Arabidopsis thaliana: one gene and its partners. The protein of the gene in region 1 interacts with the protein of each later gene in a pairwise test. Each region holds a gene or a part of one and is shown in the gene's direction. Other genes may lie near its edges. The genes, in order: CIPK22, AT4G13540, CRF11 and AT5G02050.

The links.
Region 2: the proteins of CIPK22 (region 1) and AT4G13540 interact in a two-hybrid assay, tested with the Arabidopsis thaliana proteins (one large-scale study listed by BioGRID).
Region 3: the proteins of CIPK22 (region 1) and CRF11 interact in a two-hybrid assay, tested with the Arabidopsis thaliana proteins (one large-scale study listed by BioGRID).
Region 4: the proteins of CIPK22 (region 1) and AT5G02050 interact in a two-hybrid assay, tested with the Arabidopsis thaliana proteins (one large-scale study listed by BioGRID).

What each region holds. Positions count from the first base shown.
Region 1 is NC_003071.7:16,111,997-16,119,423, reverse strand, and holds CIPK22 (CBL-interacting Serine/Threonine-kinase), read left to right. Parts: upstream 1-4,219; coding exon 4,220-5,515; downstream 5,516-7,427. Other genes in the region: AT2G38500 (2-oxoglutarate (2OG) and Fe(II)-dependent oxygenase superfamily protein), read left to right, coding at 383-891, 1,158-1,482, 1,578-1,814.
Region 2 is NC_003075.7:7,865,715-7,873,229, forward strand, and holds AT4G13540 (golgin family A protein), read left to right. Parts: upstream 1-3,605; 5' UTR 3,606-4,181; coding exon 4,182-4,545; intron 4,546-4,621; coding exon 4,622-4,890; 3' UTR 4,891-5,076; downstream 5,077-7,515. Other genes in the region: AT4G13530 (uncharacterized protein), read left to right, coding at 1,094-1,780, 2,716-2,841; AT4G13550 (putative triglyceride lipase), read right to left, coding at 5,537-5,617, 5,875-6,000, 6,457-6,537, 6,866-6,979, 7,082-7,163, 7,253-7,366.
Region 3 is NC_003074.8:9,471,281-9,479,507, forward strand, and holds CRF11 (Integrase-type DNA-binding superfamily protein), read left to right. Parts: upstream 1-4,131; 5' UTR 4,132-4,538; exon of another isoform or gene 4,539-4,638; 5' UTR 4,639-4,771; coding exon 4,772-5,770; 3' UTR 5,771-6,310; downstream 6,311-8,227.
Region 4 is NC_003076.8:400,398-407,837, reverse strand, and holds AT5G02050 (Mitochondrial glycoprotein family protein), read left to right. Parts: upstream 1-3,491; 5' UTR 3,492-3,593; coding exon 3,594-3,878; intron 3,879-3,986; coding exon 3,987-4,345; intron 4,346-4,439; coding exon 4,440-4,599; 3' UTR 4,600-4,859; downstream 4,860-7,440. Other genes in the region: AT5G02065 (uncharacterized protein), read right to left, coding at 353-583, 707-1,129; AT5G02070 (Protein kinase family protein), read left to right, coding at 1-58, 237-624, 716-775, 859-1,943; AT5G02060 (Uncharacterized protein family (UPF0497)), read right to left, coding at 2,064-2,258, 2,360-2,492, 2,800-2,930; PRA1.A1 (prenylated RAB acceptor 1.A1), read right to left, coding at 5,367-5,470, 5,585-5,656, 5,745-5,833, 5,915-6,001, 6,099-6,177, 6,271-6,311, 6,518-6,675.

The sequences.
Region 1 (7,427 bases):
GAGATTAATTGCATTTAAAAAGATTACACATCTGGACCAGTTCAAACATTAAATTGTGGCCCACATAATGGCCCAGCCCAAAGTGGCAATATCATTTCTCTCTAAGCGCGTTTTCCATCTGACATAAATCATATTCAAATCTTCCACAGCGGAAATGAAGTTAGAGAACCATATGATCATCATCATAAATTCATCATTAATTATATACATTCAAAATCAGTAATGGACCCTCACTTTCTCTAACCAAAGAATTAAATAAATAAAACAACAACGAAATGTGCTTCTTCTAATAATCGAACAAGTCTTGTTGATTTTTCTTTCTTCTTGGGGCGGATCATAATTTAGAACCGCCCGAAACCTTCGGATCCTTTCGCTCTCTCCAATGGCTCTGATGCGAACCAGGAGCCAGTTGAACGTATCTTCATTGACTCCACCACCTCCTCCTCCGTCTCCGATCCCTAGAGCCAGAGGCTCTCGTTGCGCTGCCAGCGAGATTCTCACCGAGATCATTGAGCGATCGATTCAGGTTCCTGAGCTCACGCTTCCGGAATCTCATTCTGGAGGTGAATCTTGCGGCTCACGTCATCTGATCCCGGCGGAGATTGATTTTAGGTTATTGGCGTCGAGGAGAGAAGGTTCGGTGGATCGGTTGGTGCGATCGGCGAGAGAGTTTGGGGCGTTTCGTGTGAGTTATCATGGGATATCTGGGGAGGAGCTGAGGTCTCTTGTGAGGGAATCGGGTCGGGTTTTCGGAGTTTTGGAGGGAAGAGACACCGGGTTTCACCGGAGTGTTGTCGGAAACAGAGACGAGATCGTGTGGGTACGGTCGTGGAAGGAGAGGATGGAATGGGCGCGCGAGTATATCGGACCGGAAAGATACCGCTGCTTCAGGTATTGGGCCCTTAATGGGCCTTTCTGTCACTCTCTGTTTGATTGTGTTATGGAGAGATCTTTGGTAGATGAAGTACTAACTAGAGCTAAATAACAATTTGTGAAGAATCAATACAAAAAGGCTATAACATTCGTTTTGGTTATACAAGTTTCGTTTGAACTAGTGATTACATTTTAGAAATTTTTGATGAACATTGCATTTGCAAAAAAATAATTAGTGATTGAGAATTTGGTTCCAATTTCTTGAATCTTTAATTTGGTTGCAGCCAAGAAATGGAGAATGTAGCTGATAAACTTGAAGATATAGCGAGGAAACTAGGGCAAATAATGGTAGAGAACTCAAGAAGACCAAATGATAAGAAGATACAAAGAGGAGAATCTGTGCTTAGCGTTTACAGGTACAATCATGAAAATGTAACTGAGCAAAGCCCTCCTTTGCCCAAAGAGAGGACCGAAGAAATGCTTCATTATACACTCAGCCTTCACCTTCCGGCTAAGAACTGCGAGTTCCGCGTCAACTCAGGGAAAGGTCCACTTTCTTTCCATGCTGATCCCGACACTATCCTTGTCACTTTTGGTCGTCAGCTTGAGGTATGAACGAACACTTAAATTAATACTATATATTTGTTATATGATGTGATCAATCAATTGTATAGTAATTTTGTAATAAATCTATGGAACTATAGGAATGGAGTTTAGGAGAATTCAAATGTCGTCAAGGAGAAATCATCTATCATCCTGATGCATATGGCTCGCCCACTTCCTTCTCCGTAGAGCTCAAGTGCATGTCTCTTTTCTTATCACACACTTCTATCGCAACAACCTCCAAAACATTCTCTTTAACCCATCAGATTTTCACTGCTTTCCTCCTACTTTTTTTCTTCCAATGTTTTTGGATTTATGGATCACGAATGGCCGCTTAGAATACTCATATATGTATATTTTCTTTTTGTGGGAGGGATGCGTTCATTTGAATCGTGGATGATCAACGGGTAAAATGTGTTTATCTACTAGGTGTAAGCTTCGGTTGTATATGTAAACCCAACACATAAAAATTTGTTGCTCCTAAAAAAAGAATGCCAATATAGAACTGATTGAGTTTTTCCTTTGTTTGGACTCATATCGACTTTGGATATTAACGCAAATTTTCATTGTAAGCAATTCGTGTGTTCTTGAATACGTTCTTCCTCTCTTCTGATGGGGTTGTGAATTGAGATAAAATAATTTGTCATAAAAAAAAAAGATGTAATGTAATGTCCTAATTAAAACTTTGAGAAAATAGCAAAAGCAATGCCTCAATATGTGACTTTTTTTTTTTTTTTGAGTTAGATCAAAAAATTTGTCTAATCATAAAACCATCAATTTTTTTTTTTATGCTTTTGTTAAATTCTTTTCGTAAACAAAGACAAAATGTCGTAGAAATCTTCTGACGGTTGGTTTTACAAACTTTGCTTCGTAGAGTTTTTTTAATAACATTTTTAAAGAAATCACACAATATATGACGATGCGTGAGAAAGAAGAAACGTCTTAAATTAAGAGTGAGGGTGGGTGTACGGACGATGTCGATGGCTGACGTACACCATCACGGTGGTAAAGACGGTGTCTCTTTGAAGTAGATGTCTTTATTCTTGATGACGATAACAATGAGAAGATCAATATTCAATAATAAAGCAATGGTGATGTATTTGTTTTTCAAAAGAATTGATGTTTTTAAATGGATCGATATAGCACATAAATAAGTTGACTTGGCGGTTGGGCATTATATTCGATGTGATGATTCGATGGTTGGTTTTTCCGGTTGGGTATGACTCCACAATGACGCCCGGATGTCATAGTCTAAATGACTGTGTGACCGTACGATAAAATCGAGATAACTTTTGAAGTTTGGTTGGGTATTACTGCCGACTGTTAGGTGTTAATTTTCATTCAGATAAAGTCAATAAACTAAAAGGCAAATAGATAGTAAATACCGTTACGAAAGCTAACACCTACATATTGGAACACATGAATGAATGAGCAAGAGTTGTTTTCTTTATTCGTTTTACTTTGTCGAGTTTTTGCTTTTGCATATTTCCTAATTCTTTTTTTAGAGGTTTCTTGTTTTTGGTCAAAAATTTACAGGTTTATGATAATGTTTTGAACAAGTTCACGTGTAAGGATTAATTTTTTGGCTTTTTCAACAACAAAAGGGGTACTAGTATGATTTTAATCCACACACGAATGACTTGGATCCACGAATCCAACTTCAAATTAATTATAAGAAAAACTTAATTTGCCCATCATTAATCCTTAGATAACAAAATTTCCAGCTATTAAAAAGTAATTATTATATGTGGCATTGAATTTCAAACAACATTCAAATTTAAATGTTATTATTTTGTCACTCAAATTTAAAGGTTATTTATTGACTGGATAATGTTCTTGGTTTGATTGGGTTGCTACGGTTGGATGCGGTTAAAGACCAACAATTTCATCAGAATTAAGGATGGTTGATTTGTACCCACGATATAACATTCGTGTCTAAACATCTTTACATGCACATGCAATGTTGCGAGATATAGTTCACATAAAATTTGGTCCGGTTCACTTGTCTTGATTTGGTTGTACACTTCTACCTGATGAATATATATTCTTATGTTTTAAGAACCAAATCATATCCTCAGAACTAAAGTACCATCTTAACCGGTAAAGAAGCTTAAAACATCGTCATGTATACTGCTTAGCATTCTATACAAAGTAACGTCAATCCACGTTGTTTTTTTCTTTCACATTATTCAAATATTTTTATATAGACGTTCTTTTTATTTTTGATAAAGTTTTTATTTTTGTCAACGATGAACGTTTAAAAAAAAAAAATATGTCGAGTTTTCCCAGCTCCTACAAAAACAAATAAATTAAGACTTTAAATCCCACCTGGAATTAGAAGGTTTTGGTTGACCTGACAAGGCAGATGTTTGGTAACAACAACATGAACCACACATTGGGGAAAGAATCATGAAAATTCCTTGAATCGTAAATTATTTCAGGAGAAAATGACTCTATCTCTAACCTGGTTGATATATCGCAACTAATTCAAATTAGTAAAAATCGAAAATGTTATCGCATTTTGAAATTGTCTTTTGTGAAGATTGTTTCTTTCATTTATTTGTTTAATGCATTTTATAATAAAGTCAAACTATTTTAAAATCTTTGTTTAAAATAATAGCTTACTTACGTGGCAAGTTGAGGAATTTCAATAAGAAGAGGCACCGCGCGCATGTCTTTTACAATTCCTAGACTGTTTCTCTTTACTCTGTTTTTTTGCTCTGTTTTTTTTGTTTGTTTGTTAATGGCCGAAGACTCTAATTCTTCCGAATCAATCATTGTTAACGTCACCGGAGATGATAATAAGTCGGCTTTGTTCGGTAAGTACGATCTCGGTAAGCTCCTCGGTAGCGGCGCGTTTGCCAAAGTCTACCAAGCGGAGGATCTTCAAAACGGCGGCGAAAGCGTTGCGATCAAAGTCGTACAAAAAAAACGTTTGAAAGACGGTTTAACGGCGCACGTTAAGAGAGAAATATCTGTCATGCGCCGCCTCCGTCATCCTCATATCGTGCTCCTCTCCGAAGTCCTCGCCACAAAGACGAAGATCTACTTCGTCATGGAGCTAGCCAAAGGTGGTGAGCTCTTCTCAAGAGTCACCAGCAACCGTTTCACAGAGAGTCTTAGCCGGAAATATTTCCGGCAATTGATCTCCGCCGTGAGATACTGCCACGCAAGAGGAGTTTTCCACCGTGATTTGAAGCCGGAGAATCTCCTCCTCGACGAGAATCGAGATCTGAAGGTTTCAGACTTCGGTCTCAGTGCGATGAAGGAGCAGATCCACCCCGACGGAATGCTACATACGCTCTGTGGAACTCCGGCTTACGTAGCACCGGAGCTTCTTTTGAAGAAAGGCTACGACGGTTCTAAAGCTGATATTTGGTCATGCGGCGTCGTTTTGTTTCTTCTCAACGCAGGCTACTTGCCGTTTCGTGATCCAAACATCATGGGACTCTACCGGAAAATCCACAAGGCTCAATACAAGTTACCGGATTGGACATCTTCAGATCTGCGGAAACTCCTCCGCCGTCTCTTGGAGCCAAATCCGGAACTGCGAATCACCGTGGAGGAGATTCTAAAGGATCCGTGGTTCAATCATGGAGTAGATCCAAGCGAAATCATCGGAATCCAAGCCGATGATTACGATCTGGAAGAAAACGGTAAAATTCTAAACGCGTTCGATTTGATTTCTTCGGCGTCGAGCTCGAATCTCTCCGGTTTGTTTGGAAATTTCGTGACGCCGGATCATTGCGACCAGTTTGTATCCGATGAGAGTACGGCCGTTATTATGAGGAAGGTCGAGGAAGTTGCGAAGCAGTTAAATTTGAGAATCGCGAAGAAGAAGGAGAGAGCGATAAAGCTTGAAGGTCCACATGGAGTAGCTAATGTCGTCGTTAAAGTTCGCCGGCTAACAAATGAACTAGTGATGGTGGAGATGAAGAACAAGCAAAGAGACGTGGGCTTGGTTTGGGCCGATGCTCTTAGACAAAAGTTACGTCGTTTGATTAACCAACCGGTTTATAAAGTTCCTGACAAACCGTAAAACGGTTTCAACACTAAACCAACAATCCGTGCGTTTTACTTTTAGAATTTTCAACGTACTACACTCGGGATCGAGACGCATTGTGGTTAACCGGTTCGGTTTACATTGGAGCAGGGAGAGTAATGGGACGATCCGCCTCTTTGTATATAAAAATGACAAGAAGAAAGAAAAAAACAAACCGGGATTCAATTATTTTTGTTTATTTATTTTCGGAGTATAATTTAAACACAAAAATTATTTGCTTTATTCATCGGAGAGAATTTGAATAAAACTCTGATTTGAACTTTGTAGCCTTTTATGTGTGACCGTGTGTGTTTGCAAACTTGGGCCTTATTTTGCGCTAAGGGACATGCTACACCGTTTGTAATATTTATCGTTGTTGATTTTGTTTGGCAATCGTACGAAGTATTTCAGGATCTTTTATGTATGAATGTTTATTTGAGTTTGTATTAAAAACATATATATGAATGTTACAGATTAACGAATAGTTGTCACTGCTGATTACCACTTGGCAATTCCGTTAAAACATGATTGGTATATATAACCGTACAAGTCTATAAGATAGATCACAAAATTCTAGCCAAAGCATCAATGTTTTATTTGTTTTGGGGAGTTTGTGGTCCAATGCTAATTTTAGAAATACAAAAACTATAGCTTCCAACGCATACATTTGATTTGACATAGATATATTCAGTAACTTTCTATAACAGAACTAGATAACCTATGTTATTTGGATAGTGGTGTGATCCCATTAAAAAACTTACTATGCAAATTAAATTAGTCGACGTCATAGAAAAAGAGAGAGAGGATTGTTATAAAGCAATATCAGCTGTCGGTAATTACGTGTTAAGTGTATGGTAAGTCTATCGAAGCTATCAGAGATAAGAAATAAGTATACTCTTATGAAATTAGCAAAGTTAAATTGTGTGTTTTGAAAAACAAATGACATTAAAATAAACAAAAAATAAATCTCAAACTCACGTCAAACACACGACCCTACCGTAACTCGACGTGACGCTAACGCCAAGCTCAGAAGATTTAGTGTGGTGGTGGTCAATGCAAATGTTGATAATTGTATCATCACGTTGAACTCTATAAAGTTTTATTTATTTATTTTTCTTTTCGATAAAAAAAAAGGTTGTGAAATGTGAACTCTAATAAGTTCCCAAAGCCATTACAAGTCTCTCACATTAAAACCTTCTTCCTCCATTAAGATCAAAATTGTTGTTATATTTGTTGAGCTAAGAACAAAACAGAAATAACTGTTTTTACAGTTATTGGTCGGACAATAGACTCAAAATGGATTGGATTTGAACTCCGTAGGTAACTTCTCTAGTGGACTCAACAAGTCTTGAATCATCCCCTTATCATTGAAAGCATCTTTAAGATTTTCTTTGCCTTGGTCTTCGTCATTGGTCCAATTAGAATGGGAACTTAAACTGCCTCGAATGATTTGGTACTTCTAATGCACACATCATTGATCTAGACTTATGGAAGTTCTTACTTATGCTCTTCATATTGACAAATGACAACAATCTATTTCCAAGTAATTTCCAATGAACTTGTTTTTTTTTGTTTTTTTTTTGCTAAAAAGAAATAACAAATTTCAGTTTTTATAATGTTTGTTTCCAACTCTTGTTATGTAATAAAGTTAATTAACATTCCTTTATACAGAAAACACAATCTTCCAATGAGAAAAAAAAAACAAATCAACTGTCCATAAATTCTCCAATCAGACTTTGATATAAAGCTTTCCATAAAAAGATTGTGAAGAACAATTCCATTCTTAGCACAAAAGTTATGGAATTGATTAAACATCCCAAATCCTAAAACCATATATTACCATATAGATTAGAAAACATTATCACCATAGAATAGATAAATAGATATAGAAAAATCTCTTAAAAATAAT
Region 2 (7,515 bases), on another chromosome or scaffold:
TCTTTTCAGAATCTCTTACTAATAAAAAAAAAGTTATTTGAGGCCTCTCACACTACCCACCTCAGCCTTTTAACAAATGTGTTCTCAAGTTGCCACGTCATCAACTCTCTCAAAAACTCCCAAATCTCTGCAAGCCACCATCCATGAGCCTCTTAACTTTCTTCTCCTCCCTACCTCAACCTTTATAAAATCTCCACATCTTGGTTTAATGACTAAACTCTAAAATTTTGAGTTATAAAAAAGAATGTTTGTTAAACTATGATATTAACGCTAAACATTTATTGAAAAAAAAGTTGGGTTTCGATTAATATTAAATATTTCCTATGTTTCTTAGCAAAAATAAATAAATATTTTCTCTGTTTTTTTTGTTTGATTGTTAGAAAAAAACACACAAAAGTAAATATATTAAAGTTGATTTTAAATATATTATATTTTGTGTTTTACAATTTTCTATCACTTTAAACCAATAAAATTTAATTATTTTTATTAAAGTTTACAATTCATTAATAAAAACTAATAAATATTACATAAAAATTTTAAAAAATCAATTTTTTTGAAACAATTTTTTTTTTCTTCAAAATCAACAAAATAGAACCGAAGGAATATGAATTACGCGGATTACAATTAAATTATCAATTCATCGATCACCTAATTTGAACGAGAAAAAACAAGTAAAAAAACGAAAAGTAAAATAGTAAAAAGTAAAAATACATTCTATTGGATTTGGTTCGGTATCAATAAATTATGATGTTCTTCACAAAATGCATTTATATGACGTGTTTGCTTCCTCTCCCTCCAGTTTCAAGTTGAGCATATCTGATTAGCAAAAGCGGTTGAAGGTCCTCTACTTCTCGGCCCACCGTAACAACATACACTGTCAATCCATATAGTTATCATAAACCCACACGTCAACGAAACCACTCTTTTGACTTCATCCTCTATCCAATCACACCACGCCACGTTAACACCACGACCTAGTGTTTCTGTGATCTCCACACAGAGAAAGAAGCGTTTCGGTTCTGTTTTCGCCCCAACACAAAGACTCCTTTTGTTTCTTTTCCTCAATTGGATCGAAAAAACCCCTAACTTTGACATGGAAGGAGAGATTCAAGACTGGGAAATACTTCAGAGCTCGAGATCTACCACGGAAGATGACAATTCGAGGAGCTTGGAGGAGATTGATGATGGCACGCAAGGTATGATTAGGTTTGATCATTTCTCTCTTGAGAACCAGAGTGGTTTGTCTCGTTTGGAGGCAAACGATGAAGATGGGTCTGTTCAATCGGGTAGTCCAGGATGGATCGAACCTAGCTCCGATGTTCCTTATGGTCCGAAGCATTTTAGTGAGTTATGGTCTGATTCAAGCAGTGATCGGCTTGATGATCAGAGGTTAGTGGATGATGATGTGAATAACGAGATGGGTATAGAGAGAAACGAAGTGGGTATTGTTGAATATAGTGAAAGTATAGCTCAAGACATGGATTTGATAAGCTCTGATGAGAGAAAGGAAGAATCTTTACTTCATCCAGTGGAAGGAGAAGGAAACTCTGTTTCTATTGATCCTGGTGTTAAATCTGGTGGTGGAGGAGGAGAAGAGAAAGGGTTTGTGTGGTGGAAAATTCCAATAGAGGTGTTGAAGTATTGTGTGTTGAAAATTAATCCTATTTGGTCTTTGTCCATGGCTGCAGCATTTGTGGGTTTTGTTATGTTAGGGCGTAGATTGTACAATATGAAGAAGAAGACTCGTTCCTTGCAGCTTAAGGTTCTTTTGGATGATAAGGTAACTAGCTTGGTTTATTTGATTGTTTATTGTTCTTTGAGTATGTTGATTCATGAGTCATGTGGTTACTGTATGATCTTTTGGTGTGATATGAGCTCTGCTTAGTTCAACTTTTACTGCTTAGTTAGATGTTTTATTAGTGTCAATTGTTGTTTTGATGGGGAAAATGAGAAGATCAGATCATCCCCTTGTTTGTCCTGGGACCAGTTTCTTGTTGCTAAGTAGTTTAGATGCAACCAGCGACTCGAGGTCATAGTATTCACCAACAGGCATACACTCGTACCCATTTACACTATCTTGCTAAGGGTTTTTGATATAGCACCACTGCATCGGTTGAGTTCTTGATAGATACTTTTGGCATAGAATGTGTAGTTGGTGAGAGCAGTGTTAATAGTCGTTAGAATACCACCTGGGTGATCTATTTCTTTGTCCGTCCTCTCTGTTGTTTCATCTCCTATAATGCTTAAACAACATATTTTTTATTTTTACATTTTGAGTTTGCATGTTCTTTCTAATAGCTAAAGGATAGTTGAAAGATCTTTAGACTAGTTTTCAGTAGTTATTCTTTGTAGATTTTTCATGTTGGTAGCCAGAGATGGAAGTTACTATATATTACGAATCTTATCGTAAAATGTTTCTTTGAGGAATGGATAAAAGTAGTGGTAAAACCTGAAAGTTTAGTTTAACTGATCTTCCACTGGTACAAAGCCTCAGTAAGGACCCAAGTTTGAATCCTGCTTACGGTTGCATATAACTTGGCGGATCAAATATGTCTTTTGCTGCTGAAATTCACGTTCTTGCTTGACTTGTATTCATCTTTTTCACTCATGGCAATGAAGAACAAAAGTTCTAAGTATTTCAGAACACAATTCGGAAGATTTTTACACCATCTGATTCTTGTATTGTCTGTCTTTTGAATGAAATACTTTTTTCAGAAGGTGGCGAATCATGCTGCTCGGTGGAACGAAGCAATCTCGGTAGTGAAACGTGTGCCCATAATCCGGCCAGCACTTCCGTCATCAGTGGGTATGAACCAGTGGTCCATGATGAGTTTAAGGTGAAAATTAAGTGAATTTGAGGGCATAATAATGCATATATGTGAGATTATATGATTTGATGTGGTTGGTGCATGTATCATATGATTGTATTAAAAATGTTACAAAAACATACAAAAAGATGCTTGTAAGTTTGTACTGTGTGTGTATATATTGTTACTTGCTTGGTGGAATACAAATTGGATCAGAATCATAGTGCAGTTTTGGAAGGTTGCGGTCAGAATCTAACCTTGATAAGCTTCTGAGCTGGTCTTAGTAGGCAGTGTCGTAAAGAGATTGTACAAAGACAAAAGCCAATAACGGAATTTTGGTTGTTTATTTAGAAAGTACGACTCTTTAAGATATGAAAAGGGTTAAGACAAAAACCCAAATTAACAGGGAAGTTCACGTGAAGAGGGCAATGTTTCTGATTGATGTAGCCATGTAGGAGTCTATCTTTCACTTTATAGCTATCCTAAACTCTACGATGTCAATTGTGATTAGATATATGTCTCTTCTTCTTGTTTCTTTGTCTTCTTTCACTCTATTATTCGTTGACCATTGTACCACCAAAGTTTGGTATACTCACTTATCATACTTAAATCACAAGTGAGTATTGTAAGGAACTAAGGATCCAAAGCTAAAGCATACTCATGAAGTTTAACTATTGACGTTTAACGGAAATAAAGCAAACCAAAATTCGAACTTCAAGATAAATCTACCCATTGTCTTCACGTAACATACTCAAATTTTGGTTTGCTATGTTTGATTCGGTCTATAAAAACACAGACAATAACTTAAGACCTATGTAACAATTTCCTCCATGAGAAGAAGACAAATTAGACCAAAAGTTTGAGAGAAACCTATAAAACCTACAAATATTGGGAAGAAAAAATAGGAGTAAATAGGTATGGGTCCATGTTAATGATGCATGTGACAAACAATCAAAGCCCACACCATTAATTGGAGATTGAAGAAAAAACACTGCTTTTCATATTCTGTAACACCACTTCAATTCCTTTTTCTCTTGTTTCCTATTCAGTACTATGTCCTGAGAGTGCCCATAACTTCTTTTGTCTTTTTATCTCAGTTTCCATAAGAAATAATCAACTCAAGCCACAATGTGTGTTTGTGTGATTAGTTTTGTGATAAGACATTCCATAATTTTCCTATTGTGTGTTTAGGATAAGTGAAGATGCTTTTGGTTTGGACCATATTATATAAATAACATGTGTCTGCAATGCCGCAAAGTGGAGCTTTCTTCACTCACAATAATCATTTTTTTTTTTCATTGAATGAAACAAACAAGACATTCAAAATAGAACAAAAGTTCTACAGAGATAGAGAGAGAAAGAGAGCTTTTCTTCATGGGTGGTTCTACAAGCAAGGATGAGAGAAACAGTAGTAAGAGACGCATCAAGGTGAAAGCAAATGAACAGAGAAGGAGAGAAACAAGAAGAGAGCTTGATGAGAAAGAGAGAGTGATTTTGGCGTTGAAGATGGCAGAGACAGAGTGGAGGAAAGAGAGGAAGAGACTGAGAGAGGAAGTGAAGAGGCTGAGACAGAAGATGGAAGAGAAGGAAGAAGGAAAGGCGAAACAACACGAGTGGGAATGGGTCGTGGAACAGATGTGTTTAGAGAGAGCAGTGAGGGAAGAAGCTGTGGAGAGGTGGAAGCAGCTCTACTTTGCTATCAAGAATGAGCTTGATGATCTCATCCACACAACATATGGTAAGACCTTTCACAAATAATCTCATCTTTGATGTTTTGAGAAAGGAAGGTAATGAGTTTTTTTTTTCTTTTGTAGGAGAGGCACTGAGACAGAAACCGCAAGAAGAAGTTGCAAAGGCAGTGCAAGAACTCAGAAAGGAAGTTAAAGCTAGGGGAGAAACCATTGAGACACTGAAAGGGAGAATAAATTTGATGGAGAAACAACAAAATGGGAAGGAAAGAGAGATTGACTTACTGAGACAGAGTCTGCGTATCCTCGGCGGTAGCAGCGGGAAGAACAAGGCACTATCATCTACTACCAGAAACCTGACAGTATTCAAAACAAAATTCATCGGGTGTAAATAACTGTTTTAGTCATTTGAAGTTACTTTTCCACAAGGATTGCTGTATAAGTAGACTCAGTAAGCTTCAAGCAATAATAAGCCATTTCTTTCCTATCTCATGACGCTAAAGAAAGTTGTATATACTTCACAAGTAACATATCCAGCATCAAGAAAATCTAATGGAAAAGAAAAACGGTGAATGATCAGGGATTAAGATTGTTGTCTCCAAATTGATCTAAGATTATGTAGAAACTTAGTACGTAAAAATAAGAACTGCGTGCAAAGGTTCCAAAACAAACGAAAGCTTAAGGATTGAGATAACTTACTTCTCCCGCAGCTGTTCTCCTGAAAAGCTCACAGATGCAAATAATGCTGAAACTAGCCAACCGAGAGGCGAGGTCCGAGGTGTAACGGTCCCTGTTAGCCAAAAATAACATTCCCTGCAAGGTCTCCCTGAGCATGCAGTGAGAGTATAATGTTCAAATTTCATCTATACGCATTGTGATAAATTCCAACCATCTTGTCCCCTTTTGATACCATGTCTACGTTTAAGTTTACACGACTGAACCACAGATCACTATAAAATAATTACAATGGATGCTTGTCTCTTGTATATAGTATACAGTGTGAATCCTATACAGCTGAAGCGAGCCACTACATGCTCTCACTTAGCTCTCTCCCACTGATTGGATAGTAGTACTTTCAACGCCTTTCGGATCTTCAACAGTTTTGTAATATAACTTCACACTCTGAAAAGATTGACAACAAAAAATGATGCCAATGAGATATGGAAATTACTAGCAGTCTCAAACCAACACATGCTCCATCCAAAAAAGGGTTGGCGATGTTTAAATGTCACTATCCTGTGAGGGACTGAATCTTTCTAACTTTAAGTCACAGTGTAATTCTTGAAAACAAAAAGGAAAAATGCATGGAGTTATACGTTGTGTTATGACAACTTATCAATAATCAGCAATTGCTTAAGTGGCAACAACAAAGTACCTACCTCTAACAATGTGATGTAATAGAAATCCTCCATGTGCTGCATAAGGGCACTTCCATCACGAAGTGCATTGAATATTTTAATTTCCGTTTGAAGTATCTTCTCAACGAGTTCCTTCTCACCTTTCATCTGAAAGAAAACATCCATTTAATCTCATGTCAGGAAATCACTCATTTTCTTGTTCAAGGAATATTTTTCACTATATTTTTTGCCTCTCTACATCTTCTGAATAATACCCATACATAAGCTTCTGAATCCCAGAAAAGATAGATAGTATGAAAAAGACTACGCAGAAGGAAAACAAGTTTTAAGTTCATTGACGCATATGAAGCCATCACAATAAAATAGCTGCTAGTAAATGTGAACCTATAATTATAGGACAGTATTAGGAGCAGCTCTTAGGAAATAATTCAGTTTAGAGATCTCTTTTTTTTTCCCTATTAAATTATTAGCTATGAAAAATACATAAACCCAACAACAAACATATGCAGAATTTATGAGAAACACAAGCAGGAAAATTAAAACTAGAATCATGATCAAAAGGAAAATGTGAAGTAACCAGAGAAAGAGTGTTAGAGCACTTACAAATCTACTAACAAGAATATCGGGTGTCGCTTCGCCAATCACCTCAGCATGATAACCATCTTTCTGGAACTCAATATCCTCCTGCAACATTTTAATCACCTTATATTGGAAAATCATATTGTATAACTTACAGAGCTCGTACTGCAGAGTAAGGCCAAAAAGGTAGTCACATTCAAAGAAATATTATACATCACATATCGTTTTTGCAGGTTATACTAGATACTTAGCCAGACAGAATCAAACAAATGACAGTTGCTATATAGAAGACCAAATGTTTCCAGTGACAACAGGCAAGACAACACAACTAGGAGCATGAATCATTTACAATCGCATAGAATAGCACCTCGAAGGAAAAATAAGAAATAATGATCTGAGTAGATTAGATAGTGTGATCAAAGGGCAGGCTTACCACATCTCCAGCACTGAGATAAACAGGATGAGCAACATGACAATAGCCCATTAAGCGAGGGACTGTGGGAATTATGTCTCTATGGTTTACAACTCTCCAGCTGTCTTTTACTTTCTGCGAACGTAGAAAACATATAAACCATGAGGTTTTATGACGACGTGCCATCTCACTCCCACTTTTCAACTAAAAATTGTTATGTTAGAAGAAGCATATGACCTGATTATAAATTTCAGCAAATTGTTTGTTGCCTACTCTTGGAGATCCAAAGTTGTACATGGTAACAGTGATTGCCCCACGTCTAACAAGCACACAAATCATGTTAAATGCCCATTAAGCTGCTTGTCGTCAGGGTGATATGTAGGAGAAGGGAGTTCTCAAAGTACTTACTTAGCTAATTGGCTGGACGAAAGTTCGAGAGCCAAGAGTGTAGCTAATGCGCCACCCAAGCTATGACCAGTCACATAAACATGCCATTTATCTTCACGCTCAGTAACATCGTCTCTGCCAAGGGGTGAGAGAGAGAGAGAGCATGTTTATTAGAATTGATGTAAGATTTTAGCACACCTCGAAGACGTAAAATTTCAATCACTATATTGTACTGTCCTGAGCAAACAAAATAAACTTCATCTATAAAAAACATTCCAAGAAGA
Region 3 (8,227 bases), on another chromosome or scaffold:
GCCTTTCTCTTTCTTCTTCCTTCTTTTGTTTCTTTTTCATCTTCTTTACGAGACTTTAGCCATGGAGTTCTCTTTCTCTCTTCATCTTTAACACAATTCATCTTCTTCAGATTCACCATGTCATTTTCTTTTTCTATTTCTCTCTCCCTCTCCTAAAATAATCTTCACCACCTCTCATAAAATATATCATCATATCTCTTTATTTTGTTCACCTACATGTTCTCTCTTTCTTTTTCCATAGAAATCTCTCTATCTCTCATTCTTTATTTTCTCTTTTTACCTGAATTTTCCGTCAATGTCGTTGTGATATAAGAGATTAGATTTGATTTTAAAACAAATGTCTGATTTTAAAATGCATGTATTTTAAGAACAAAACATGTTATTAACACTGATATATTAATATTTGTCATGCTATCCAATAAAAACTCATGAAATAAATAAATATTTGTCATGTTATCCAATAAAAACCCATGTAATATTGTAACAATTCTATATGTTTTTTTAAACTTCGCGATCTATAAGAGAATTGCATGCTTTTTATAAATATTTCGTGCTATTTCTGAGAAACACATTATTTCAGAGAAACATATATATCGTGTATATATATTCTGTATGTATTTTAAAGAATTGCATGATTTTTGTAAATATATCATGCTATTTTAGACAAATACATATAAACTTTATAACTAAAGCCAATGGCATTATTGTAAAAATAAGTAAACACAAGGATATTTTTGTATTTTCTCTTTTTCAGAAAATGTTATTTACCTAACTTTTCTGACACAATGTCATTCTCTCAATTCTTTTCCATTTCATAGTTAGTTTCTAATATTACCCATATTTTTATATACATAGAGATCTATATTTTTATAATTTAACAAAGACCAAAAAAATTTGGCCAAACAACAAATAAATAAGGAAGACTAAGAACTTGTGAATTGTGATCATCGTTAACGTGGGGAAGATTTTCTTGCGATTATTATTCCTAGTCTTATTTATTTATTTATTTCCACTATCAATTTAAAATGACACGTAAATTTGTAATGATTTTTCGAATAATGTAAGCACTAATTGATATTGGTGTTTTAACTTTTAACAAAAGAAAACAAAGATCTACATATGGGCCTAAAGTAAAAGCCTTTTAGTTAAGTACATTATAATTGGGCTTTATATCTTAACAACGTCGAATCAATTGTAGGGCCGACGTGGGCGGCTAAGCTGTTTCCAACTTTCCAACTTCCGACCAGCTCCACTTGTGTCTTTCGCTCTCTCTACACTTATGTTTTTTTTTTTTCAACTCTCTGTTTTGTCTGACGTGTCCACTTACTAATAATTTTTGAAAAAACTTTCCACATATAAAAATTGCTTGATGGTCGTCGTCGATGGCTGCATTATTTATGAATGTATTAGTCCACATGGTGAAATGTCTACATTTTAAACACCACGTGACACTGATAATCCGACACTTGTATGTGTGAAATCAATGTAATGATCCCTTACTCTTTCTTTTTTGTTTTTCTTTCAATAGAACAAAAATATTGCGAATTTATCTAATAATGTTTCTGTAATACTAAAATTATTTTAAAAGTTTTTATTTAATATATTGTTAATTTGTCTAAATTTTGTCACGACCGTTTTTCTTCATGAATAGTCTTTGACGTAGTTGAACATCCATTTTGTATACACTGTTATAAATTTGCACACATTTTGTGTTTCAACAATTTTTAAAAAGTATATATGTAGTGTACAACTTTACTTTATTATTGCTTTACTTTTTTTTTGTCTATTGTCGTTGAAAAATGACATCAAATGAATCTGTTGCCTTCCTTACGTAGGAAACGTTTTGTTGAAATAGTAATAATTAGTAAGGGTCATTGTATATTGGTGGAGAAAATGTTTTTCTTACTTCTGTAATTGCATCGTCTTTTCTTCACGTAGGGTAGGCAATCACATGCATTCAGGCGTGCGTTCACTGTTTTCTTTTTTCTTCTAGCTTTTTGTTTTCCTACTATATTGTTGCAGAAAAATGTTTAGTTTAAACTAAATTAATTATCCAACTCTTTAAAGTGGCAATCTTGTAAATAAAAAGGGGAGTAGGTCTGGACCAATGTGGCAATGCGAGCGATATGTTAAAAAAGCTGTGGAATAAACAAAATTTTGGAAATTAGGAGTTCCTTTCGTTTTATGGAATTGAAAGAAAATGACACTTTCAATATTTTTTTGGTATTTCTTTAGTAAAAAATGTTTTAAATTTTTAATCGATCGAATCGTAATGAACCTTACAAAAAAATCATAAAATTTGAAGTTGATATATAAATTTTAATCTAGAGATGTTAACTTTTTGGATTAATCTGGAAGCGACCTGTTTTAAGTTGTTTCAAAACTATTAGGACCGAAACCAAATAGAATCGAGCAAAAAATGTTAGAAATTTTTATTTTATTTTGTGTTCTTTAGGTTAACCAAATGTTCGTTCATGGTGTAAGATATCAAATAATGGATGAGCTTAACCTCTAAAATACAAGTTTAAATTGATCGGTTCAAATCGGACCGAACTTAAATGATTTTGCAAGTTATTAGAGTGATCATGATCATGTTATGTTACGGAATATTACAGAGTAACTTAACTTAAGCACTGACTTAGTTGACCCAAAAAGAGACCATTGACTTCATGAAATGCTTGAGTGTGGAAAAAATAAAACAGAGTTATTCAAAAACGTTTTGAGTTGTGAATTATTCTCATTAACATTGTATTTATTTGGTGCACAAAAAAAAAAAAAAAAAAAATTGTATTTATTTATACCCACTAAAGATGGGAAGAAGACTTGTAAATTATGATGAAAAGTCCCTCGGTTGGTAGCAACTAGCAAATGTGGGGATGGAACAATCCTCCACGTTCGAAATTGTTCTTCTTTAGCACAATCAAGATACTGCAAAGTAAACTACCTCTAATGTAATTAATTAACCTCACAAATTGTTATGTTAATTAATGGTATTGAATTATACTCGTCGATCTTTTGTAAGATATTTTTGTTGAATGCCGAAAAAATTATCAGAATCTATAATTGATGTTTTTGTTTAAGAGTCAATTTGGGAGAATGAGTTAAATTACTATAGAATACAAGTATACATCACATCAAATAATATGAATAATTCACTAAACAATGAAGGAGTAGTTACTAGTCACTCTCTTTTATTTATTTTTAATTAAAAAACGAATATATATGTTATTGTAGTTTAATACTATTAATAAAATAAAATTCTATTACTTCACTTAGCTAAAAGACCCACAGTGCAGTAACAGTGAGAAGTAAATTTCATGAATAATGTATTACAATACAATAATAACTTGTTCGATACAAAGTATTATTCCTTTCACAAACTAAATTTATTTACCATATATCCATAATATAATTCCAAAAATAGTATGTTTTATTACCATATTGTAAAAGGGAAAAATGTCATTTAAATCATCACTTTACCATTTTCGTTGGTTTAAAACATAAACTCTCGATTTGGTGATTTAAATCCTCAATTTTATGTTGACGTTTAATTTAATCACGAATTCTCGTTAACTAAGCCAATTAAGACACATCGTTAAAAAATTTTCTAATTAAAATTTTTGAGTTTTTCTCTATTTTTCTTCAGAATCTCTTATCTTCTTTGGAATTTCTCTTCTTATTCGAATTCAAAGTAATCTTTCATCTTTAGGTCGATTGACGATACCGGGAAAAAAAATTGTGTCTCAATTGGCTTAGTCAACGAGAATTTGTAATTAAATTGAAAATCAACATCAAATTAAGAATTTAATTCACAAGATCCAAAATTCATACTTTAAACCAACGAAAATGATAAAGTGATAATTTAAAAAACATTTTCCTTATCCCTATTGTAAAACTATTTTCACCAATCTTAACCGAAAAAATGAAATAAAACTGTCCAAAAAAAAAAAACCAAATGCTAATAAAAAACGAATTTAATTTCCCATCTTCGTTTTTTTTCTTTCTTTTAATGCTTTAATAAATTTTTATTGAGATCTGTGTTTGAACAATCGTTTCTTAAAAGATTTTTAACATCTTTTTAAATTCCTCGGTCTCTTAAATTTACCAGTTACATAACTTTCTTTTATTTTTCCGACATAAATTAAAAGTTTTGTCTTTGGTAATAGAGAGGCAGAAAAATCTTGGCCATAGATTTGTCATCTGTTTTCGATTCGTTTTGATTCTTTACTTTATCTTCTTCTTCTTCTTCTTCTTCCTCTTTTTGAATCTTTTATCTTCTCACTTTTCTTTTTCACTTTTGGGAAGCTCGAAGAGCTGAGAGGAGTGTGAGAGAGAAAAGGATCTTTGAAGTCGCCGGAATAATTTGTTTAACCGGAGCTCTGTCTTTGACTCTACGCTTCTCTCTCTTCTTCTTCCTTCTTCGTCTTCTTAATCGCTTTCTGCTCTGTTTTTCTCGTTCATCAAGCTACATCTACTAGCTCTCTCAGTGATTGATTTCTCACAGTTTCATCGATTTCCATGCGTTTAAGACCTAAAAGGTAACTGGGTTTGCTAAAGTTTGTTACTTTGAATGGTTTTTATAGTTTCTCTGTTCGAATCTGAAGTGGGTTGTTGTGTTTTTGCTGGTTATTGAAACAGGACTTGTTCTGGGGTAAAGGACTTTTCTTGTTCTTGAGAGAGTTCATTTTGAGGCTTTTCTGGGAATTTTGAGAGGTTTTTTAGGGTTTAAGGGGGTTTGGTTTTGAATTTCGCACACCAAGTGTTCGATAAAATGGCTGAACGAAAGAAACGCTCTTCTATTCAAACCAATAAACCCAACAAAAAACCCATGAAGAAGAAACCTTTTCAGCTAAATCACCTCCCAGGTTTATCTGAAGATTTGAAGACTATGAGAAAACTCCGTTTCGTTGTGAATGATCCTTACGCTACTGACTACTCATCAAGCGAAGAAGAAGAAAGGAGTCAGAGAAGGAAACGTTATGTCTGTGAGATCGATCTTCCTTTCGCTCAAGCTGCTACTCAAGCAGAATCTGAAAGCTCATATTGTCAGGAGAGTAACAATAATGGTGTAAGCAAGACTAAAATCTCAGCTTGTAGCAAAAAGGTTTTACGCAGCAAAGCATCTCCGGTCGTTGGACGTTCTTCTACTACTGTCTCGAAGCCTGTTGGTGTTAGGCAGAGGAAATGGGGTAAATGGGCTGCTGAGATTAGACATCCAATCACCAAAGTAAGAACTTGGTTGGGTACTTACGAGACGCTTGAACAAGCAGCTGATGCTTATGCTACCAAGAAGCTTGAGTTTGATGCTCTGGCTGCAGCCACTTCTGCTGCTTCCTCTGTTTTGTCAAATGAGTCTGGTTCTATGATCTCAGCCTCAGGGTCAAGCATTGATCTTGACAAGAAGCTAGTTGATTCGACTCTTGATCAACAAGCTGGTGAATCGAAGAAAGCGAGTTTTGATTTCGACTTTGCAGATCTACAGATTCCTGAAATGGGTTGCTTCATTGATGACTCATTCATCCCAAATGCTTGTGAGCTTGATTTTCTCTTAACAGAAGAGAACAACAACCAAATGTTGGATGATTACTGTGGCATAGATGATCTGGACATCATTGGTCTTGAATGTGACGGTCCAAGCGAACTTCCAGACTATGATTTCTCAGATGTGGAGATCGATCTTGGTCTCATTGGAACCACCATTGACAAGTATGCTTTCGTTGATCATATCGCAACAACTACTCCCACTCCTCTTAATATCGCGTGCCCATAAGTTTTGCAGCTAGGTGTTATTATTAGCTATAGGAGCAACGTAAAAAGCTCGTTGTTACTCGGTTTTGTCTTAAGTTATTAAAGTATAGCAGAGGCAGTTAATCTCAAGGGAAGCAAAAACCCTAAAGATAGAAGCAGATGCAGTTTTGTGTGTTGGTGTTACTAAAGAAAGTTTTGTTGACATAATGGTTTTGATGTTGTGGAGAAGATAGAGAGGTGTGATCGAAATTGTAAATCTCAGGTGGTTTTTTTTGAAGGCAATTGTTTCTCATTTAGGGTTTTTTTCTATATGAGGATTGTCTTTGAAAAGCCTTTAGATGTTTTCTAATTCGTAAGCTCTCTCAATCTTTGTAAGTTTTGCCTGTTGAGTTATTGATACATATGTGAGACCTACTTTATTTGTTTTGTGCTACATACATTGTTGATGGTTTCGTCCTCTGCTCTTGTTAAGTCATTGTTACCAATGTTTGATTGCTGTTTCTTTCGGGTTGATTCAGTCAGACATGAAGATAACTAGATAAACCGTTTGTTCTCTGCAATCACTACCTATAGAGTTAGGGTTTAGGCTTATCCTCTTTTTGCATTATATCAGTAAAGTTTTCTTTAAAAGTTATGTGAACAAAAACACATAATGCAAGATAGAGAGGTTAATGGGTTTGGTTGATGATAACAGTAGGACAAATTATCACCGCTCTAATTGCGTTGGTTCTTAAACCATTTCTTTTATAATATTTAATATTTGATCTAATTTTCTTAAAGCAACCTTTGCGTATATTACAAGTCTTGCCAAAATTTTCAACTAGTTCCATCTTTGATATAAAGAGTATATAGTGGTGTGTTCTTTTGTGTCAAGCCATCTCTCAACTTCAGACTGTAGCTGCTTTTGGATTTTATTAGTTTCGTTTTAGTGAACAGAATTATGGATATACATTGAATTGAACGTGCATATTCATTTTGTTTTTGTTTTTTCAACAAATTAAAATGAATTCTAAGATGTTTTTGTTTTTTTGTTAATTGAATTCTTAAGATGTTGACAGAAAATAAATTGAAGTCTTAAGAATAATTGATTTGAGATTTTAAGACTTGTACTTTTCTTTGGAGATTGGAGATTTGACATGCTCGAAGTCGATGTATACAATTTGGTTTTTTATCAAGTGTCATTCTCATTCGATGGAGCTTTTTTTTTATCAAAAACGTGGAAATTAGTGATTTCTAATGATCTGAAATAAAAATTGGGTTTACTTCCATGGTTTTTTTTTGGACAAAGGGGTTTACTTACGATCAAGCAATCAATTACATAGTTATTCTGGATTAGTCATTTGGTAATATTTAGCATCTTATGAAGAATCTTAAACACGTCCATTATACAACTAAATATGTTGCACCATTTGATGGAAAAAAAATATGTTGCACCAAAAAAATGATCCAAGATGTTGAAACTTGAAAGAAAAAATCGAATAATAATAACAAATAGGCTTTCTGGCTTTCTATGTTACTGAAAGGCCCAATGCACGTAAACGGAGAGCCCACATTACAAATTAATAATTTTTGTTGGGCTAGTGAGACCATAACGCTATCATACGTTGTAAATCTGTACAGCAAGTTAACAATTACAATAATAATCAGATTTTACACTCTTTTATAGATAAGTCATGGTCAAGACTCAAGAGTCAAGAGTCAAGACCAACAATCAATGGCCTAGCTTGTACAACAAAAGACTTAAGGCTATATAGTTTTAATCAATTAGAGTCACATAATTCACAAATATCAACGATTATACAACGGTTGTTATTGAGTAGTTAAAACATGGTTGATATAGATTAGTGAGAAAATATTGATTGGTTGACAATATATGAAAGTGAAATTATCAAAATGATATTATACATAAGTTTTTAAAATATATCCAAACTCATTTTTATTATAATTAGAAACTTTTTAAAAAATATAGACCGTATGTGATCTATTTTTATGAAACTTAATAACAAAATTTATTTGAAAATATTAGATTGTAAAAAAATAATTATTCATTCTGTAGTTTCCGGTTAAAAAATGTGCAGAAAGATGAGTTTTTAGTTTGTGGGTTCAGTAACATTATAAGCTAATATTTTTTTATTAGTTGATTACATATTATTCAAGGATTACATATGTTGATGAATCCTTTAATTTACTCGTGTTAACAATAATCCGTAATTTTTTAAGACGTGAGGGATACATAGGAGAGATTTCCATCGAGATGCATGGTTGTTTTTGATTCCCTCACTCCTGATAAGATAAACTAGAATACGTTTCGACGTCAAAATATTTAAAGATTTGCTTAACTGAAAAATAAAGAGAATTTTGTGGAATAGGTCAGAACTATATTTTTAAATTAGCTAAAGGATATTTTTAATATAATTTTGTTAATGGTCAAAAAGACCTAAAAAAAATTCTTAACAAAAAAAATAAAGAGAATTTGGTA
Region 4 (7,440 bases), on another chromosome or scaffold:
CAGCATCACTAGTAGCAACACTATCTTGCTCCTTAATTGCTCTCAGGCTATGCTGCAGGTAAAGCAAAAAAGTTTAGTTGGTTTGGTGTGAAGATTGTAGAACATATTGGTTTATGATCAAATTTGAGATCAGTTTTAGTTTGGTTATTAGGTTTGGGTTCAATGAAAGTAGATTTCGATTAAAATGTAATGGAACCCGGTTTTCAGGACTGACCAAGAGATTTTGGGGTCTGCAGGCGCCAATAGATTGTAGTCCTACCAGCTTATGTTACAGCTACATCAAGAACAATGCATCACCTTGTTCTAAGGCTCCCTTGTGTTGCACCTTCAGAACCGACGGGTCTCAAACCGCTTACACGATCAGGATCAACGGTGGGGGATGCCTCGCGTACCAAAGCTTCGTGGGGCTGAATCCAAACAAAGAGGTTCCTCCTCCCGGGAAAAAATGGCCTGACACGGGGCTCGAGTTGCAATGGGCATTGCCTAAAGAACCAGTTTGCAAAACTGATGTAGATTGTAACCTCTTGTTGGGTAAATCAAAATGCTTGCCTGATCCAACGAGTCTCGGCCTGAAACGATGCTCCTGCAAAAAAGGTTTGGAATGGGATCCGGTTAACGCAATATGTAAGTAAACTGCATAACAAGTGAACTATTCAAAACAAATTTCTTGAATCAGATCATTGTGATTGATTAGTTCTTGGCATACATGTATTAGGTGGTAAATGTCGCCATGGGAAACACTGCAAAAAGAAGAAGAAGACCGTTGTTTTCGCAGGTACAGAGGATGAACCGAAAAACCAAAAATATATTCAAATGCCCATATGATTGTACTCCATTTTAACTTCTTTGCTCTTGAAGGTGCGGCTGTTGCGGTTGTGGGAGTTACGCTAGCGATTGCGGTAGCAGTAATTGGAACCAAACATAGCCACCAAAAGGTTAAAAAGGATATCCACAAGAACATTGTTAAGGAGCGAGAAGAGATGCTTAGCGCAAATTCCACTGGAAAATCATCAAGAATCTTCACTGGCAGAGAAATCACGAAAGCAACCAACAATTTCTCAAAAGACAATCTCATAGGCACTGGAGGTTTTGGAGAAGTGTTTAAAGCTGTTCTTGAGGATGGAACCATAACCGCGATCAAACGAGCAAAGCTTAACAACACCAAAGGCACTGATCAGATCCTAAACGAAGTCCGGATTCTCTGCCAAGTCAATCATAGAAGCTTAGTTAGGCTTCTCGGTTGCTGTGTTGATCTTGAATTGCCTCTCTTGATCTACGAGTTTATTCCCAACGGAACGCTGTTCGAACATCTCCATGGCAGTTCAGACCGTACTTGGAAACCGCTGACTTGGCGGCGCAGACTGCAGATTGCATACCAAACCGCTGAAGGATTAGCTTATCTCCACTCCGCAGCACAGCCACCCATTTACCACCGCGACGTAAAGTCAAGCAATATTTTGCTTGACGAGAAGCTAAACGCCAAGGTTTCAGACTTTGGGCTGTCAAGACTTGTGGATTTGACAGAAACCGCTAATAACGAGAGCCATATCTTCACGGGTGCGCAAGGTACATTGGGATACCTCGATCCAGAATACTACCGGAATTTCCAGCTAACTGATAAGAGCGATGTGTACAGCTTCGGGGTTGTGCTTCTGGAGATGGTTACATCGAAGAAGGCGATAGATTTCACTAGAGAAGAGGAAGATGTGAACCTGGTGATGTATATTAACAAGATGATGGATCAAGAGAGATTGACTGAATGCATCGATCCACTGCTGAAGAAGACAGCTAACAAGATTGACATGCAGACGATACAGCAGCTCGGGAATTTAGCATCTGCGTGCCTTAACGAACGGAGACAAAACCGACCTTCGATGAAAGAGGTTGCTGATGAGATTGAATACATCATCAATATTCTGTCACAAGAGGTTACTGAGACATAGCTGTCTTAGAAAATTACCAAAATGACTTGTACCCTTGCCCTGTTTCCGGTTATGGATTGGAGAAAAACAATTCATAGAAATGGATTTTTGTAAAATCATTGAGATGGGTTTTGTTTGATATCATATCAAGATCCAAAACATGGTATGAGACGATATAGCAGCTAAAAACCAATTAAAGAAAGATAAACCAACAGAAATCTGAAACCTATCGCAAGAGAGAGCGGGTTGCTGCCTGCAAAACTCAGTGTCTTTAGTGAATAAAACAGTAACTCCTGCAGAGGAACACGCGGCTGCAAGAGCGAGAAGTGCAGTGACCTGCAGAATTCCAAAAGAAACCTATCAAACAAATAACCTTTAAAACAACAAGACACCAACAGTGAATAAGCATATAATGAAATGGAAGATAAGTTTAATACCCAATCACCAACAGTGAAAAGGCTCAATAAGATAGGGCTTCGTAAATCACTTTTTCTCCTTATCGCATATACATCAAGACACGCAAGTCCAAAGCTCCATATCAATTGAAGACCCATAGATGCGACTAAGAAGCTGAAATCATTGGCAAAAGCAATCTATCATCATTTTGTATCTTTTGAGATAACCCCATACAGTAATCGAAATATAGAAATAATTCCATTTCCACATATTTTTTACCAAACAAAGAAAAAAATCTTGTCAAAGTTTCAGGCAAATGTTAATCATACACAATTACTAGTTCAGTTAGCTCTATCTTCAAAAGTTTATCCAAGAAAAAACTACAAAGTCAAGATTTTTGATACATCAGTGTCCAATGTCTTCAACTAAACTAAACTAAACCAAAACACCAAGACCAATGAGATTGAAGATGGACAATTACCAGAAAGCAGTGTAATTGGAAAAGTCGTAAGAAGAAACCATAACACCAATGGAAGCAGCAGCAGTTGCACATTGCCCTAGTCTCAGTATCAACCCACTCATTGTTCCAGGACTCCCAATCATCTTCTTCATTGATCAGAACCCAAAAACAAACACAATAAACAGAACAAAACCAAGACTTTCTATCCTGTTCCTCACCAAAATCCCCGGGAGAAAAAAATCGCTACTTTACAGGAAATTGATCATAAAAACCCTAAACCCATAATTTTATTCAGGAAAATTTCACAAACCCAAATCTCAAAAGTTGACTTATGATCATAAATCGTACGGAATTGGGTAATTAAGAGCATCGCCACCAGAAAACCAACATTAAAAATGACAACTTTTTTGAGCTATATGAATTTAAAAACAAGTATCTACCACAAATTTAATTCTGCTTTTTTGGAGGAACAATTATGTTTCCCTTAACTTCAAGCCAACGATATTAAAATTGAAGTTGGAAGAAACAGTGACGCAATTCTGACGCCGGCAAGAGCTATTTTGTTCTTCTCTCCTTTTGCCTTTAAGGACGTGTCCACACACAGACATTCCTCTCTCACTGTACGAATGACCAATTCCTTTTAATATATGGGCTTCTTATGGCCCATTAAGTAATTGGGCCTTATTAAATGGCTTTTTATCTCCTACATAATGCTTTGCACTATAAACAAACCTTAAACCTCTCTTCTTCTCTCAGTAAAACCCTCATTTCTGTTTCTCTTTTCACTTTTAAGGAAAACCCTAGAATCCTCAGAAATGGCGTTGAGCACCGTGTTTCGTCGAGCTTCGTCAACAGTAGCCAATCTTGCTTTCCGTGCGGGTAGATCTCCGGTTAGCTTCCGCAGTGGCGCTGTCTCCGTCGAGAGGCTGATTCGTGGTAGCCACCAGATCAGGCGTGGATCGGTTAGTTCATTCTCAGTCTCGAGCTTTTCGACGGAAAGTGCGATCTCTAAAACAACCGCCGACGAGAATCTTGTTAGCGTTATCGAATCTGAAATCGAATGCGCCGTCGCAGAGGAGGCTCCTCATGACACTGACTTCGTAAGTTCTCTCTTTCAATATACATGATTCTTCTCGAATTCATGAGATTTTAATATTTCTGGGGTTTAGAACAATTGTATCTGAATTAGAAATGTTTTGGAAAAACAGTTGGAAGATAAGCCAGAAGGGTTTCCATTTGAAATCATTGATAATTCAGGGGAGAGAACTGTGTTGCTGACAAGGAAATTTGAGGATGAAACCATCCAAGTGGAAGTTGACTCTGTTGCTTCTTATGATGATGAAGATGAAGAAGAGGAAGCAGAACCAAACAATGAAGAAGACGATGAAGATCAAGAGAGCTCGGGTAAAGTCCGGGTTCCGATGGTTGTTAGTGTGCAGAAAGGTGATGGTGTGTGTCTTGAGTTTGGAGTCAGCGCATACCCGGATGAGATTGTGATTGATAGTTTATCGATCAAACAACCGCAAGGATCTGATAATGACCTTGCTTACGAAGGACCTGACTTTGAGTAAGTTTACTTCAATGATAGTGAGTTCTTGTTTGGAATATATGAGATTGGGGTATTGTTATGTGATTGAATTTGGTTATTGTGTTATGTGCAGTGACTTGGATGAGAATTTGCAGAAGGCTTTCCACAGGTACTTGGAGATCAGAGGTATTAAACCAAGCTTCACTACCTTTCTGGCAGATTATGTGGCCAACAAAGATAGCAGAGAGTATCTTCAATGGCTCAAGGATCTCAAGTCTTTTGTCGAGAAGTGAAACTGAACTTTGTTCAGAGAATAAGAGCGAGATTTCTTTTTGCTTTAAACTTTTGAGTTTATCTTAGATGAACTTGATATCACCATGAGCAATCGTTGAAAGTGAGGTCATGTGTTATGCTTGTTAACAATATTGCTACATGTTTTTAATGGGTTTTTAGGTACTTTGCTAGATATAAGATGCAACTCTTTCGAGTGTCAGTTGGAAAAAATGTTACGACCTCAATAAAGTATAATTCTTTTGCATTTTCCCATTGCCTATTCTTATCCGAAAACTCTCGGCTAAGTAGTCAAATCATTTGTTTATTTTCCATTTCTTGTTATCTCATTATTATTGTTACTAGACCTCTCAACCCAAAAAAAGAAAGAAAAAAATGCAAGCTATTAAACGATTCTAGGACTTTACACAAAGGGTTTTGTGTTAGAACGAAGAACAACAAAGCTAGCTTTACAAGTCTTTAGCAAAAAAAAGAGAGGATTTTGCTAGCAAAAAGAGCTCAGAGCTCAAATCTCAAATCAAAGAAAAAACAGATGATCCCAGTCATTGAGCAACAAATCCAGATTGAACATCCATAGTACAGTGTTAACGAAACCGGGTTTATCTTGGAGAAAGGCAGTAAGTTTGGTCTTTACAGCGTTATGTCCTCAGCAGAACACGATCATGGTGGTACAAGCTGCCAAAGACTGTCAACATTTCAGAAAATCTAACCATCCAGTTAAGCAAATAGATGTTAGACTAAGAAGAAGATATTTCAAACTTACATTACTCTAAATCTCGCTGTAGTTACGCCATACTGCTCGGAATTCCTCCCTAAATGTGTTAAAACGTGCCTTCAAGTTCGGTGTTCTCAAGCTTGCATGAAGAATTGTTGCTGTAACACAAATTACAAAAAGAGGTTGAGTTTATAAAAGCCTATATGTGGATTTTTGAAGTAGAGTGAGAGAAACTAAGTTATGACTTATGAGGATTTGTGTAGACTGCATACCAAGATGTGCAATGAGTAGCGCAACCGAGACTCTGAGCAAACCAGAGGAAATATACCAAAGAGCAAAACTCACTGCGAAACAAAAAAAAAACTCCAAATCATGTTTTTTACGGTTTTTGGAGATATATTACATCAAATGAAAATATACAAAGCCACATACCAAGTGAGCATGTCAAGACAAAAACCCAACGGGGTTGACCACATACATGGATTGCTCTCTTTGATGATGGACGCCCACGAGTGACAGGTCTAAAAAACACAGATAACATAGATGATAATAAGCAAGGAGTAACAAAGAGTATGAAAGGCAACAAAGAGAGATAAACATACGTCAAAGGAGGTCTCATTTTAGCAGCTAACTGTGGAGAGAATCTTCTGACGGTTCGTGTCGCCTTCTCACTAAAAGAACCTGCAAAGCTGTAGACAAGAATACTCAATATGGATCTACTGATTCAAGCATATCCACTAGTCAAAGCTCTGAGAGTTTAAAAACAAAAGGAAGATGAAGAAAAACCTGTCATTTAGAAATGCCAAACTTAATGCTGTCAAAAGCGCAGCGAAGATCGCTAAAGGCCTTGTAAGGACTCCCAATCCTGAGAAGTAAAATTTGACAATTCTAAGTGAACAAGACATCATTGATAAACAACACAGATGATAATGCTTAGCCACTTCCTCACACCACATACCAAGTATAACGACGATCATGATGAAATAGTTTGTTCGGTAGCTGCATAAACAGATCATCATCACAGGTCAAAATTAAGCTCAATACAGAAACTAAGCTATCAAGACTCTGTGTTCTAACCAAAGTCTAAGAATTCTATGTTCAATTGGGACGAATTTGATTGGTAATTCTCAACGAGAGATTGATCACAACATCAGATCCGAATAGATATGAAATTGGCGAACAAGAAAGAGAGAGAGAGATCGTACTAGTAGAGATTGCACTTGAGGCGACTATCCCATTTAGGGACAGATTTAGGAACGGTGAACCTTGAGAAGAACTCAGACGGAGGACGCGGCGGAGACGACCAGTCAACTTCTCGGAGAGCATCGAAGAGATCATCAACCGTTACGTTTCCCCAATCCATAATCTCCGATCACAAAAACACAACACTTCTGATTCCACAATCCTTAGTTAACCTTATAAGAAAACAGGTACACAAATTCTCAATAGAATCGATCGATTGAGATCAAATTATCAAAGCTTCGTCGAAGAGAGAAACAGCGATTTCGTGCTTATATCGGAAAACTTGAAAAGTCTATAATGCTTTTTCTTTGCATTGGGGAAAGAGGAAGGAGAGAATCATCCTTCTTTTTGTCAAATGACGTTTCTGCCCTTTAGTCTGGTTTTCGTTAACCAAAGGGGTCCTGGACCAGATTTTATGTAATCCGGTTTTCGAATCTTTTAATCTAAACTTTGGTTTTCGTTGTATAAATTCCAAAACAAAACGCATCTAAACCGATCTAGATTGGAACGAAAGTCTGGGACTATGATTTGTAAAACGATTAATCATCTAAAAGTTTTAAAAGGAGGATCTCAAGCTCTAGATATAGGTAGGGGACAGGGAAAACAAAATATTACTGGCATAAAATCATATTTTAGACTATATGTATCAAATCATATCCCACTTCGAATGACTAGACCAAATTATGATTGATGGATATATTCTTCACTAAGATAACTAACCTGTTTCAAATGGATTTAATTCGATGCTTCTTCTTTCTCCAAAACCGTTAAAGCTAAGTGTTTTCTTGAGTAAGGAAGAGGTAAACTGTATCCCGAGGATTAAAAACTATACATTCGCATATGTATATGCTTAATTGGTTTTAAACCTCAGGATGCAGATTACCCG